3 linked regions of the Bombyx mori genome follow. The protein of the gene in region 2 purifies or fractionates together with the protein of the main gene of each other region. This does not show direct contact. Links are inferred from orthologs where the notes say so. Each region holds a gene or a part of one and is shown on either strand. Other genes may lie near its edges.

Region 1 (4,154 bases), on a different chromosome or scaffold from region 2:
GTGTGTTTGTCACTAAACTCCTAAGAAAAGGGGCTGATTGTGATGATTTATTTAAAATCTAACTGCTTTATTTTTTTCCTTTCAACTCTATTTTTAAGTTATCATTTACTATCAGTTATCAGTTATAATTTATTGGGGTAAAAATGTTTGAATTAAAATTTAGTATGTTGATTAAAAAATACATACTCAAATTCAACTTTTGTCATTCGATCTTTCAGTGAGGCATACATATCTTGTTTACTAATTCCTTGTTCAACAGTAGAGCCACGGATAAGGTTGAAGACCATCATCTGACGAGAATTTAAGCCATTCACTGAAGAGGTTTCAGTAATTCCAACCATTGAATTTGCAGGCAGCATGTTGTTAATTGGGACATCTTGAATATTTTTTTCCTGCAAAATAAAATCCAATTTATGAAGTAATGTATAGCAAAAAACATGTAGGCGGAAGCACCATTCATGATGGGACATAATAATCCACAGCAATGATGCAACTCAAATGCACTAGCAAGAGCTGAATGATAACTAAATTTGTAGTTCTGTCTTTATCAGAATAAAGGGTTCAAGTTTGAAAATAGTAGATTATTATTTTAAAATAAAACTGAAAAAAAGGAGAAGCATGTTGGATGTGCTGAAATTCATTTTATATGAAAATTGAAATGGTAAGTCATTGCTGATGAAGAAGACATCATTTACATTGCTGAAGAATCAATAACAAATAATACTATACTATGACATATTTTTATGTACTGTACTGTAATAAAAATATCTGACAATTATTATCAACTCTTTTTGTTACATACAAGAACTAAATATTTCAAATACAAAATTCATGTGTATTAAGCTAAATGTTGCTTAAACCAAATAGTCTTTAACCCCTCAAAATATTGTGTTATAAGTAGTTACTTCTGCCTTTAGCTATGGTGAATGGAAATGCGAATAATAAATTTTAAGATTACCAGGTATATTAGAATTACCTTCTTTGAGCCAGCTTCCATTTGTATTTTATTATGAATGCACTGAAAGTAGTGAAATGTAATAATGTTGACATCAGTAACTGGCATTATCTTAAATGCCATGAGCACTTTTGTCCCTTTATTCGTTTTCACATTGCCGTAAATTTGTATGTAATCATTTACTTGAACTTTAGGTGATGAGGTATCCTGAAATTGAAGCTCAGAAAGATTTAATATCTGTTTTTTTTTATGTAAAATACTCAATATCTAAAGAATCAAAATGGCATATACTTAAATATTCAAAAAGCACAGAATAAGTTTAATAACTTAATCTGACTTTGAGATTTTTTTATTTTTTTTATTACCATGATTGTGGACATGATTAATGGATTAACTCATTTTAATTAATGATTTCGTTTACATTGACATTACTCTGAAACTGGAAGTAACTTTCACTTACTTCAACTTCCATAGCCTCTTGGTCGAGCCAGAGTACAGCCCTCATCCTCCCTGTTATATCTTGGATTGTATATGTTATTTTAGTGCTTTGCATTCTAATGCTCCTGATTCTTGCAACTATTGACACTATTTGAATTTCTGTACCCCATATTTTCACACCTTCTTCTCCAGAATGCAAAGCTTGCCTGATGACTATAGGTGCTGTCCGTGCCGCTCTACGACCCTGTGAATAAATGTATTATTAATATATTAAATTTTCGTAATCAATTGAATTTTATTTTTTTGTAAACTTACAGTTTTTTTGGGTGTTGCCGTATTTCCAAATTGATTTGTGGTGTTAAGGAAGCCACCTCCAGAAGGATCATCTGAATGTAACAAATTCTAATTAATACAGAAAAAACTATAAAGATAACCATGTAAATGATAAAACAACAAACCATTCCACATTGTTTTAAAGTAGAGGTCAAAATTGTTAGTTGAAGACTATTCTAGTAACAGCAGTAGTACAATGCACTAAACAATTCCGAACCGATCTTAATAGAAAAGGTAGTATGGTTTAATTTTTTTAGTTTTGATTCTTATTCCTGTAAACTTTTTTCAAGCGAGTAAGCCACTATAGTCGGATTTTTAATTAGACGAAGCTAGCTGACAGTAGCTAATGTCACTTTGTGAAATAATGTTGCTATATTTAAAGTAATAGTGATGCGTTCAGTTCTCGTTCAATCACGAATGAACAATGAGTGTGAAGAGTTAATCATTAATTTCAAACTATAAAAGAGTACTATTTATATTTTACAATAAAATTGTATTAAAGTGCTCCAATATATGTTGCTAGTAGTATGTAACTACAATCAGCTTTTTTATTTTCATTACTTACCTATAATTGTTATATTTTATACATCTATAATTTCAACTATATGATGTATTGGAAATAGGACAGTCTTACAAGTACTTCCTCGCAATGTTTTTCTTAATGTTTAAAACACTCGGTATTCAGTACAGGTAGATATTATAGGAACATAATATTTCGTCGAAAACTCGTTGGTATGTACAAAGCACGCCTAAAATTCGAACCCCGTACCCGATATCGGCAATTCGGCACACCAACTGTTCACTAGACAATCGAGGCAATTTCATTAATTCAGGAGTTTTTTCAATCGTTCACTTTGTCACAACACTATTTTTATTTCATCAAAAACTGACAACACAGTAAACGTCAGTTGACTTCGTCTAATAAAAAATCCGACTATAGGTTCACATATTTTATCTTCCAAAAGATGATGATTTATTTTGTTTCAGTAACTTTTAACAGTTTTAACCAAAATGTCCCTTTGGAGTTTGGCCAGACAGAAGTCTCAATTAATTCCCGCCATTTTATAGATTTTTTTGAATTTGTTTAGTGGATAGGCGAAGGGAATCTAGCCGAGAATATAATAAATATTAAATATTCTTTAATTCACTATCTAACATATTCAATTACAAGTAACATTACAAGTACAAGTGATATTGTCTGAGAGTGTAAAGGCGCCATATGTGCCGCTCCCTGTATCTGGCCTCCAGTCACCTCCTTGAGTTGGTCCACCCATCTAGCTGGCGCTCTTCCTCTAGCGCGCTTTCCCTCTATTTGTCCGAGAATTATGAGTTTCTCCAGGCTGTGCAATGAGGATCGCATTATGTGCCCAAAAAAACTCCGGATCCATTCCTGGCACATAGTCAGCAGGCGCTTGGTGACCTTCAGCTCTTCGAGGATGGAGACATTGGTTCTCATAGCTGTCCAAGGAATGCGTAGCAGCTTTCTCCAGCAATACATTTCAAAGGCCTCGATCTTTTTGCGTTCCTTTTTCCTGAGACACCAAGTCTCCACCCCATACAGGAAGATAGAGAAGACCAACGTACGAACCAAACGCATCTTAGTTACTCGGCGAATATTACGGTCTTTCCAGATTTTATTGAGGCTAGTCATGGCACTTTTAGCCATCCCGATACGGCGTCCGATTTCTTTCTCGCAGTTACCACTGTTAGAGATCAGCGACCCCAAGTATATAAATTCCTCCACTTTCTCATAATCCTTGAGCGCATTTGATGGACTTAAAACTTGAGCTCTGTCCACCGTCATCGCTTTGGTCTTAGAGCGGTTTATGTGCAGGCCAAATTCAAGGCTAACTCTCTCTATTCGCTCCAAGATCGCAGCCATCTCGGACTCGCTGGCTGCAAGGATTGTTGTATCATCGGCATATCTTAGATAAGATACACCACTATTTTAACTAATGTCCCTAAGAATAATATCCACTGACCTTACTTACTTTCTATTAAGGCCAAAGGCTTTGTTTGGCTTTGTTAATGAGTTCTGCAGATGATAAAATGAGAATCATAAAAATATGGATTAAAACAAGATATTTAGACATTACCCAGCCATTACCATTATTATTATAATTTAAATAGGTGGCACTATAATTCATTTAAGACTCTCTAAGATGAACATTGAAAAATACCAAATTATGATTAAGATTTATTGAGTGGCAAATAAACTTAGGGCTCACCTGCCGGTCATCGTTCTCCGTCGAATCCGCTGCTTGCGCACTGCTCTTGCCAGGGTTAGTGTTAGCAACGTCATTATGTTTGAGCCCCGTGAGCTCACCTACTTGTTAGGGTTATGCTGAAATAGCCTCTCAAGACTATCAGCTTAGGTAGGAAAAAAAGCCTCACCTGAAAGTTTTTTTTAACATTTTTTTTATTGCGT
Region 2 (4,280 bases):
CATGCTTTTACCAGGCTTAGGACTGGCTACATTATTTTCAGTTTTTAGTATTTTGTGTCTTAATTTAAAATTACAAAATATACCAAAAGAGTGTAGATTTCAAAAGTTTAATACAAACACAAGAAATAAACTCAATTATTTGGATTCAACTAAAAATAGAAAAATGTGTACTTTAAAAATCAAACACAAAAAACTTTTAAGTATTTATAAACACTTGTCCAAAAATTCTAGTTCAAGGTCAAAGCGCGTGAAATTAAATTCAACGATGCAAATAGGCTATACTGCATTCAAGTTAGGGTCGAAAGTTGAAACTTCTTTCCTTAATTGTATCCTGCTGATACGCTAAGAATAATCTACAGACATATGGACTTAAATATAAGGTTTACAATTGTATGGATAATGCCTATTTCTGTTTCATTCATTACATGATATCCCTATCGCGCGCTCACTCACTCTGGCCGATTCGATACGAACCAAACGAATATTGCTGATATTAACGAATCGGTACGATATGCCGATGCGCATCACATCGAGCAATATCGTGTATCGGCTGATATCGAAATATAGATTTCGATTCACGAATCGGTCCGATATCGCGATATGGCGATGCGCATCACATCGAGCAATATCGTGTATCGGCTGATATCGATATATAGATTTCGTGCGGGGCGATATCGGATTCAACGATATTGCTGCGATATATAGATATTGAATCTATATACGATTTATATCACCCACTCCTACAATCAATAGTCATGACGGACATATAATAGGAGCTAAACCAATAAAGTAAAAATGAATTCTTCTCAGTCGTACACTTCTGGCACAGTGGTCGTGGTTACGTATGTCTTAATGTTTGGTTGCGGCTTTTGAGAGACTTCTCCATCTCTCTCTATTTGTGGTGGTACGTGTACATTTAGTAAGGAAACACTTCGTAGATGAATCAAGTCTGTTCACCTTGTGGATGATCGGCCGCGAGAGCGTTGCCGTCTACTTTTCCTTGAACCACTAAACATTCCAATGAGCTTTCATTACGAATGATATGTCCAAACATATAAAGGATTCGCAATTGCACATGAATAGGGATGTATTTTTTACTATATTGATTGGACAGACAAGATCACAGTTCGATTAAATTCCTGCTTTTGTACTCTATTCATTATAACATATATGTCGGCGCAACGTCACTGTTTAGTTAACTAAAAATAGTTGAAGTTGACTATATTCTTAATGTTACACATATCAACAACTGTTTAAGACGGTATTCAAGAGAATTCATAACTAAGCTACTCGCACTATTCTAGTATAAATAGGAGTGATTATTGTCGCACAAAACATTCCAGCTCAAGCTGTTGAACGAGGCAGAATTCTCTGCTCTTATCCTTGTACACTTGAAATTAAATAAATGGAATTCATTGGAAAAATGAATCTTAATTAGTGTCACTATGGAAGGCAATGATAACAATGAAGAAAATGGTGTCAGAAACGCTGACATCATCATTTTAAAAACCCCATGGAACCAGCCAATCTGTCATATACATAATATATTAATATGTAGGCAATAAGCATAATAGTTTAACTGGTAAACATAATTTATTGTTCTACAGCTTTGAAACACACACATGAGCTTTGTCATTTAAAAAATATTCATTACTAACTTGTCTAGCAGTCTGCAACTGCTGTCTCTGTGTGAAGGCATGTAACATCAGGGCGTCCCACTCATCTTGCATGCTTTTCAGTGTGGCAGGGATTGATGTGGCACTTGGAGGTTTTGGCTTTACTATAGGTGGTGCTATTTGAGAAATGAATTATTCATTACTATCTCTTGAGTTTTCATTGAGACAAGTTTTAGGCTTTGTTAAGCTGAAGTTTTGCTGTCTCATATGAATTATAAGATAGCATTATTACACTAATCTTCATAACATTATATTGTTTAAAAAAAATTGTGTGACTATTTCTTGCATGATGTATATAACTTGATCTTGCAATTTAGCTGCTTTGCTGAATATGAGTACACAAAGTGTGGCCTTGGGGCTATGATGACTACAAATGAATACAATCTTGTACTTATTATTCATTACTTAATCAGACATTTAAAGTACTTTAAGAGTTTTCGGTCTCACTATGCGGTCTCACTATGTTACAGAGTCTATCATACTCGTCAAAATTAATATCTTATGTATTGAAGTAGATAAGATATTGTTTAATTTATTATATAATTTAATAATTACTTCTTAACCTCTTAGAGGAATTTAAGCCATTTATGATTGAAAGGTTCCTCACTTTTGATCTCAATAAGGTCCTCAACTCTCAACTCCTTGCCGTTAATAGGATCCACGCCATTTTCTATTATGTACTTCTCAATGATTCTCCTTTCAAACACAGCTCCTGACGTAGGTGATACCACTGGTACTTCGGGAACTTCATTTGATACTAAATTAATAAATTAGGTTATTCACATAAACTGTTAATTTTCATAAAACTGTAATATTCATAAAAATAGCGAAATAAACCCTATGAAATGGAATAATGACTTCTAAAATACAAATATCAAAACTTTTGTCTAAAATTGATGAAAAACTTTAGTAGCCCGGCAGGTACGCATCCGTTCAAAATAAACATACTTTATACGTTTCGCTCCTTTAATTTACAATTTACTGAATTTAAACTAAAACTTACTCGCACAATAGAGAGACATTTTGCTTATGATATCACTATAAAGGTTTGAAAATTCTGCACGGAGCCGTAAAATTACATGGAACCAAACAAAACCATTCCAACTTTCGACTCTAGGCTTTTTGAGTTTTGTGACCGCCATAGATATTTTTTTATTTGATTCGACCGTTAGACAGGCAATGGGAATGAAGCTCATTCACCACTTGGTAAAAAAGGTTGAAGCCATATCTACTGTTTAAAAGTGAAATAGACCAAAACGAAGTTGAATAAAATAAAATAAAATTAAATGACATGAGACAAACTGTTGGACGGTTATATTTGAGGGGATTGGGTTCTGTAGGTGATGAGGGGCTATTTAAAAACACAACTGCTTCATTATAATTATATTGCAGATTGCTTGAACACTTTTACACCATTATACAATTATTATCTTTATATTTTTTACAAAACTATTACATGTTTGTCTTGCCGTGTCTAGATGAGAAGTCATGACATTTTCTTAGGAGAATACAATGATCTGTTTTTTAAACATTTAAAATCATTCTAATATTCGAAATCTAATCAAGTGTCAAGTGTTGCCTGCCATTACATTTAATATACAAACTCCAACACAAACCGTAAAAAATGAAATAAACTGTCCGTGAAATAGTAGATATTTATTGAGAATTTATAGAACTACTATTTAGAAGAATCTAACACAATACAACATCCACACAACAATTGTGTTAGATTTTCCGCCACTTAAGCTCCCTAGCAGATATTAAATTGTTAAGAAAAAAAATCTATCTGATGCTTTCGTTTATTATTTTAACTTCCCACAATATTCTAGGTTGTCCATTTCCAATAAAGCTAATTTTTTTATTAATTCAAGTTGCTGACATCCTTAACACATCTTATAAGCTCCTAAATGTAAAGAGGATTAGTTCTACACTCCATACCACTCATCCGTGGTTATCGCATCATCTCCTTTGAGGCGGCGTGTGTACTGGCTGGGACGCCACCTTGGGTTCTGGAAGCGGAGGCGCTCGCCGCTGACTATCAGTGGTGGGCTGACCTTCGTAACCGGGGCGTGGCGCGTCCCAGCCCCAATGTGGTCAGAGCGCGAAGGGCCCAATCTCGGCGGTCCGTGCTGGAGTCATGGTCCAGACGGCTGGCTGATCCTTCGGCTGGTCGTAGGGCCGTCGAGGCGATTCGTCCGGTCCTTGTGGATTGGGTGGATCGTGACAGAGGACGCCTCACTTTCCGGCTCACGCAGGTGCTCAGTGGGCATGGTTGCTTCGGTGAGTTCCTGCACTAGATCGGAGCCGGGCCGACGGCAGACTGCCACCATTGTGGTTGCGACTTGGACACGGCGGAGCACACGCTCGTTGCCTGCCCCACATGGAAGGGGTGGCGACGTGTCCTCGTCGCAAAAATAGGAAAAGACTTGTCGTTGCCGAGCGTTGTGGCATCGATGCTCGGCGACGACGAGTCTTAGAAGGCGATGCTCGACTTCTGCGAGTGCACCATCTGGCAGAAGGAGGCGGCGGGGCGCGTGAGAGACGCACAAGCCCGCCGCCGTCGAGCGGGGACCAGGGAGGCGGATCTGGCCAAATCCCTGGCCC
Region 3 (4,153 bases), on a different chromosome or scaffold from region 2:
CTTCAGTGGTTATTGTGAGCACATAAAACTGTGTAAAGGTCAATATGCGAGCGTTGTCTACAAATTCGATAGTTCAAACATATTTTTTTACGAACAAACTTTCCTCTAAATGCTGTTAGCATTATTTACAAAAAATATTATTTAATTTATATGCATTATGTACGGCATGCTAATTATTGCACGGAACATTTGACTGTGGCTCCGACTAGGAGCTTTGGATGAAGAGAAGGTTCTCATTTGGAGTACATTCCTTTCTTGGTTATATATTTAGGAATATTTTTGTGAAGTTCTTCACACTAGGATAAAAGACTGCACTGAAGGCAGACATGCTTGATAAAGCATCTTAGATTTGGTTCAATTTTAGCTATAATTAAATAAAATTAGTATGGTTACCTTCAGTCTTTTTAGAATCCACTGTAAAAATCCTTGTTTTGCTACTTCAATACAAAGCTCTGGTCTGAATTCTGTGATATTTTCAATAATACCTTAAACGATAAGACAAATTTCATTATCTCAGTTATTGCCATTATATATTTATCATTCTATCATAACATATCATATTTATTAGTTTGTAGTTAAATGGTTAAAATGAAATTCTTATATGATATATTGACATACCCAGTGTATTATGGACAGCGTCTCGTTCATCTGGTACCTGCTCATCCAATCGAGTCAGGTTGTGTAGTAATAATGCAGGTGCTTCAGCTTCAGCCATTGCATTTATTAAATCTTCCGCACCTTCCTCACTCTCATGGAGTATGTCAACATCTGTCATTTCCTGAGGTACATCAATTGTAAATATTATCAGAATTACAATTTTATTACTAGTTTATTACTATGGCAAAATATTTTTTTTAAATATTGACAATAACTGCATGAAATGTCATCATTATTTATTTTGGTACAGTAGGCAGTGGTTTGGCTCTGCCCCTGGCATTATAACATAGATGTTTGTTTGAGATAAAAGATATAGAAGTAATAATTGGGTCAGTTTTTATTTTTGACCATTTTTTAAAAGGTTAAACCCTTTCTTGTAACCTACATTTTACGGACAGAAACTGTCATATACTCTATATCAGTATTGCCACATATAAATATGTAATTTCATTGAAAATGACGCACAACATCTGGAAACACAAATAAATGATTTGCATGAGTTTATTTAACCCATAGACTGCCCAAGACTGATACAAAAGAAAGAAGCCCGAGCCCTACAATCCAGCAGAGGGTAATAGGCAAGAAAGAAGACATGAGTTTTTTATCTTAGTCATGCTTACACTGGATACTGAGCCCAGCAATATTGTTTTGCAAAATTTATAAGCATATACATACCTGTAGCAGTTGAACAACTTTGGTGGAGACATCAGTATTATCATGTGATAGTAATTCTAATAATGAGTTCACACACTTTAATTCCACAAGCAGAGGATACTGGTCTGGTACTGTTGCGACAGCACTTAAATCCTGTAATAATTACAATTCTTATGATTTTTTTTATTTTTTAATGGCATACATGAGTGAATAGCCCACCTGATGCAGCCAAAATAGTATTATGTAAGAGCCTAATGCAGCCAAAATTCCAATAATATTATGAAATAGTTGTTTAATACTTCAGAACAGAACACATAACTAAATTGCAACAGAAATAGGATGGTTGCGCAAAGCCTTGAGGGCTGATAATGAAGTTAGTATCAGATTCTTCTGAATATCATAACACAATATTATACCTGTAATGCATCATGTAAATCAATTTCACTGTCCATAAACTTGTCTGGCTGATCAGGAAATTTAATCCTCATCTCTCTATTTCTAAGTGCTTTCTTTTCAAAATTGAGAACTAGTTTCTTCACTGTGGTTTCATCTAGTACTTCTCCCTGTAGATTCAATACATTTATGAGTTTATAATCACTATCTTAATTGAATAAACATTAAGAAGTATTTCAGATTATGAATTAAAATTGTTCAGAGCTTCTGACTCAATAAACTAATTTTCTTTTCATCTTGCCCTTTCTATGTATGTCTGTCATGAGTATGATCTTATTTATTCCGTTGCATCTTTCAGGGCCCGAGGAGTATTCACTCCTACTTATTGCATTAATACATAAAATGAACTCTTTTCATTTGGGATTTCTATAATTCATCTGTTACATGTCCCTCTTTAAATTATGTGTGAACAATGACAACTTCGGAGGTTAGCTTGGTTTTTCTATTAGCATTAATGTCCATAAGTGACAAAGACCATTTGAAAACAGGATTGCCTAATCTACCTTTGATGACAGCAAAATATACAGGATGGTTTAAAAACTATTAATTTTTGTTTCATTCTTCCTTAATTTTACAAATAATACAATAATTACCTCTGTTACTTCAGTGGCAACAAATTTAAGAATATCTTCTCGTTCTTTATCAGTAATCGAGGGTTCCTTCAACATATTCTTGCTCAAATGTACAGGTTCCTGTTTAAGTTTGGTGGTACGACGAATTTTAGCACTTTTGGCTTGATCCTCCTCATCGCTCTCATCTTCATTTGGCCGTTTTGGTGTTGGCGTAGGCTGCGAAGTTAATATTTATGTTTATTCGTTTTTTTGTTGAATTAAATAAACTGTTGCACCGTTATGATATAGAATATTACTTTGAATGTCAATAGCTCGGCAACATCCATTTTTTGTTTTAAGCGAAAAGGTAATTTTTGGGCTTATTACGTATTGGTGATATTTTTAACTGTCCTGAGTTTTCATATTTTAATTCAAACTTCTCAATGTCCATAAAAGTCCCTATTTTTAAGGTTAGTTTCAAAGGTTTTTTTTTTGTTGTTTTTAATCATATTAAGTGTATAATCTATGGTTTTAATATTATGCCATAGATATTTTTTTTTTAATTTTGTGACCTGGTGACAAGAGACCTTTAGGTCATATCTTCTTATTTGGAAGATAATTTTTAAATTTATGAGCTATGCATAGTTTTTTTTTTTATTGCTTACATGTGTGGACGTGCTCACAGCCCACCTGGTATTAAGTGGTTACTGGAGCCCATAGACATCTACAACGTAAATGCGCCACACACCTTGAGATATAGTTCTAAGGTCTCAGTATTGTCACAACGGCTGCCCCACCCTTCAAACCGAAACGCATTACTGCTTCACGGCAGACATAGGCGGGGCGGTGGTACCTACCTGTGCGGACTCACAAGAGTGTCCTACCACCAGTAAAAAAGATACCACTAAAATAGATACTAGATAGTACCTACACAACTATTTCACCATTTCTTTTTTTATCCAATTATACAGGTGAAGGGATACGATGAATTTCTTGCAAAGTACTAAACTCTTTCTGCAAAAATGTATGTGCCTTTTGAGGAAAAAATGAAACTCGAAAGAATATGGCAAGAAAGGCTACAATAAACTTCTGAGTAAAATGGTGGAAAATGTAATTGAGATAAAGATAAAGTGTAAATAAAGGTTTTCTCGGTTAGTGAGCCCTTTAAAATACCAGTAATGCCATAATAAATAGCTTAAAAAACTTGCAATCACGGACAGCTCCTAGATCCGAAAGCTTGCACAACATTAAAATTTTTACCTATTCAACTAATAATTGTGTTCTCCATTTTAAATGCCGCTATGGCGAGCTGAATCTGTCTCACGGTATGGATCAGAGGTTATCGGCATACCCGAAAACTAGAAAAACTTTAAACGAACCCACGAGTTACTATCCAATTAGCATCTTTCCAGCAATAGACAAATTGTATAAACGTTTGATTCGCTTGAAACGCTTCTGGAACTTCGTCACATCGAAAGGCAAAGGTACAGTCATTAGATTCCGTGCTTAACAGCCGTGCATCCAATGACTGTACCGCCTCACGGAGCACATCTTAGTAAAGCTAAATAGACCCAGACCCATTCCTCATACTCTCGACCTGATGGAATTTCTAACACCAAGTCTAAAAAGAGTGGTGCTTTGCTAAATCACAAGATCACAGGATCGAAATCGCGGCCTGCAGAACTGAAGATCTTCCAAGAAACTTAGGTAGTGTCTGTGGGTTGTACGTTCGAACTCTTCCACAAGAACGTCGACCGGTGCTCGAAATGCTATAAAGCACGGAGAGGGTATCGGGAGGAAATAGCGTGTTTCTAAAACACGGTTTTATAACTAATCGA

Evidence for each region.
Region 1: the proteins of pre-mRNA-processing factor 19 (region 2) and Rpa2 purify together in Homo sapiens (affinity purification with western blotting; 4 studies listed by BioGRID, with this or other methods). This does not show direct contact. The link is inferred for Bombyx mori from reciprocal best matches to the Homo sapiens genes PRPF19 and RPA2.
Region 3: the proteins of pre-mRNA-processing factor 19 (region 2) and beta-catenin-like protein 1 purify together in Homo sapiens (affinity purification with mass spectrometry; 4 studies listed by BioGRID and IntAct, counting the BioPlex papers as one, with this or other methods). This does not show direct contact. The link is inferred for Bombyx mori from reciprocal best matches to the Homo sapiens genes PRPF19 and CTNNBL1.

What each region holds. Positions count from the first base shown.
Region 1 is NC_085114.1:7,172,618-7,176,771, reverse strand, and holds the start of Rpa2 (replication protein A2), read right to left. Parts: upstream 2,801-4,154; 5' UTR 2,665-2,800; intron 2,030-2,664; 5' UTR 1,862-2,029; coding exon 1,852-1,861; intron 1,780-1,851; coding exon 1,709-1,779; intron 1,638-1,708; coding exon 1,416-1,637; intron 1,163-1,415; coding exon 977-1,162; intron 393-976; coding exon 187-392; intron 1-186. UniProt on the Homo sapiens protein: As part of the heterotrimeric replication protein A complex (RPA/RP-A), binds and stabilizes single-stranded DNA intermediates that form during DNA replication or upon DNA stress.
Region 2 is NC_085116.1:17,076,858-17,081,137, reverse strand, and holds the start of pre-mRNA-processing factor 19, read right to left. Parts: upstream 2,882-4,280; 5' UTR 2,873-2,881; coding exon 2,680-2,872; intron 2,434-2,679; coding exon 2,284-2,433; intron 1,793-2,283; coding exon 1,659-1,792; intron 1-1,658. UniProt on the Homo sapiens protein: Ubiquitin-protein ligase which is a core component of several complexes mainly involved pre-mRNA splicing and DNA repair. Required for pre-mRNA splicing as component of the spliceosome.
Region 3 is NC_085121.1:10,823,027-10,827,179, reverse strand, and holds the start of beta-catenin-like protein 1, read right to left. Parts: upstream 2,866-4,153; 5' UTR 2,663-2,865; coding exon 2,633-2,662; intron 2,553-2,632; coding exon 2,358-2,552; intron 1,875-2,357; coding exon 1,728-1,874; intron 1,465-1,727; coding exon 1,333-1,464; intron 779-1,332; coding exon 619-778; intron 486-618; coding exon 394-485; intron 1-393. UniProt on the Homo sapiens protein: Component of the PRP19-CDC5L complex that forms an integral part of the spliceosome and is required for activating pre-mRNA splicing.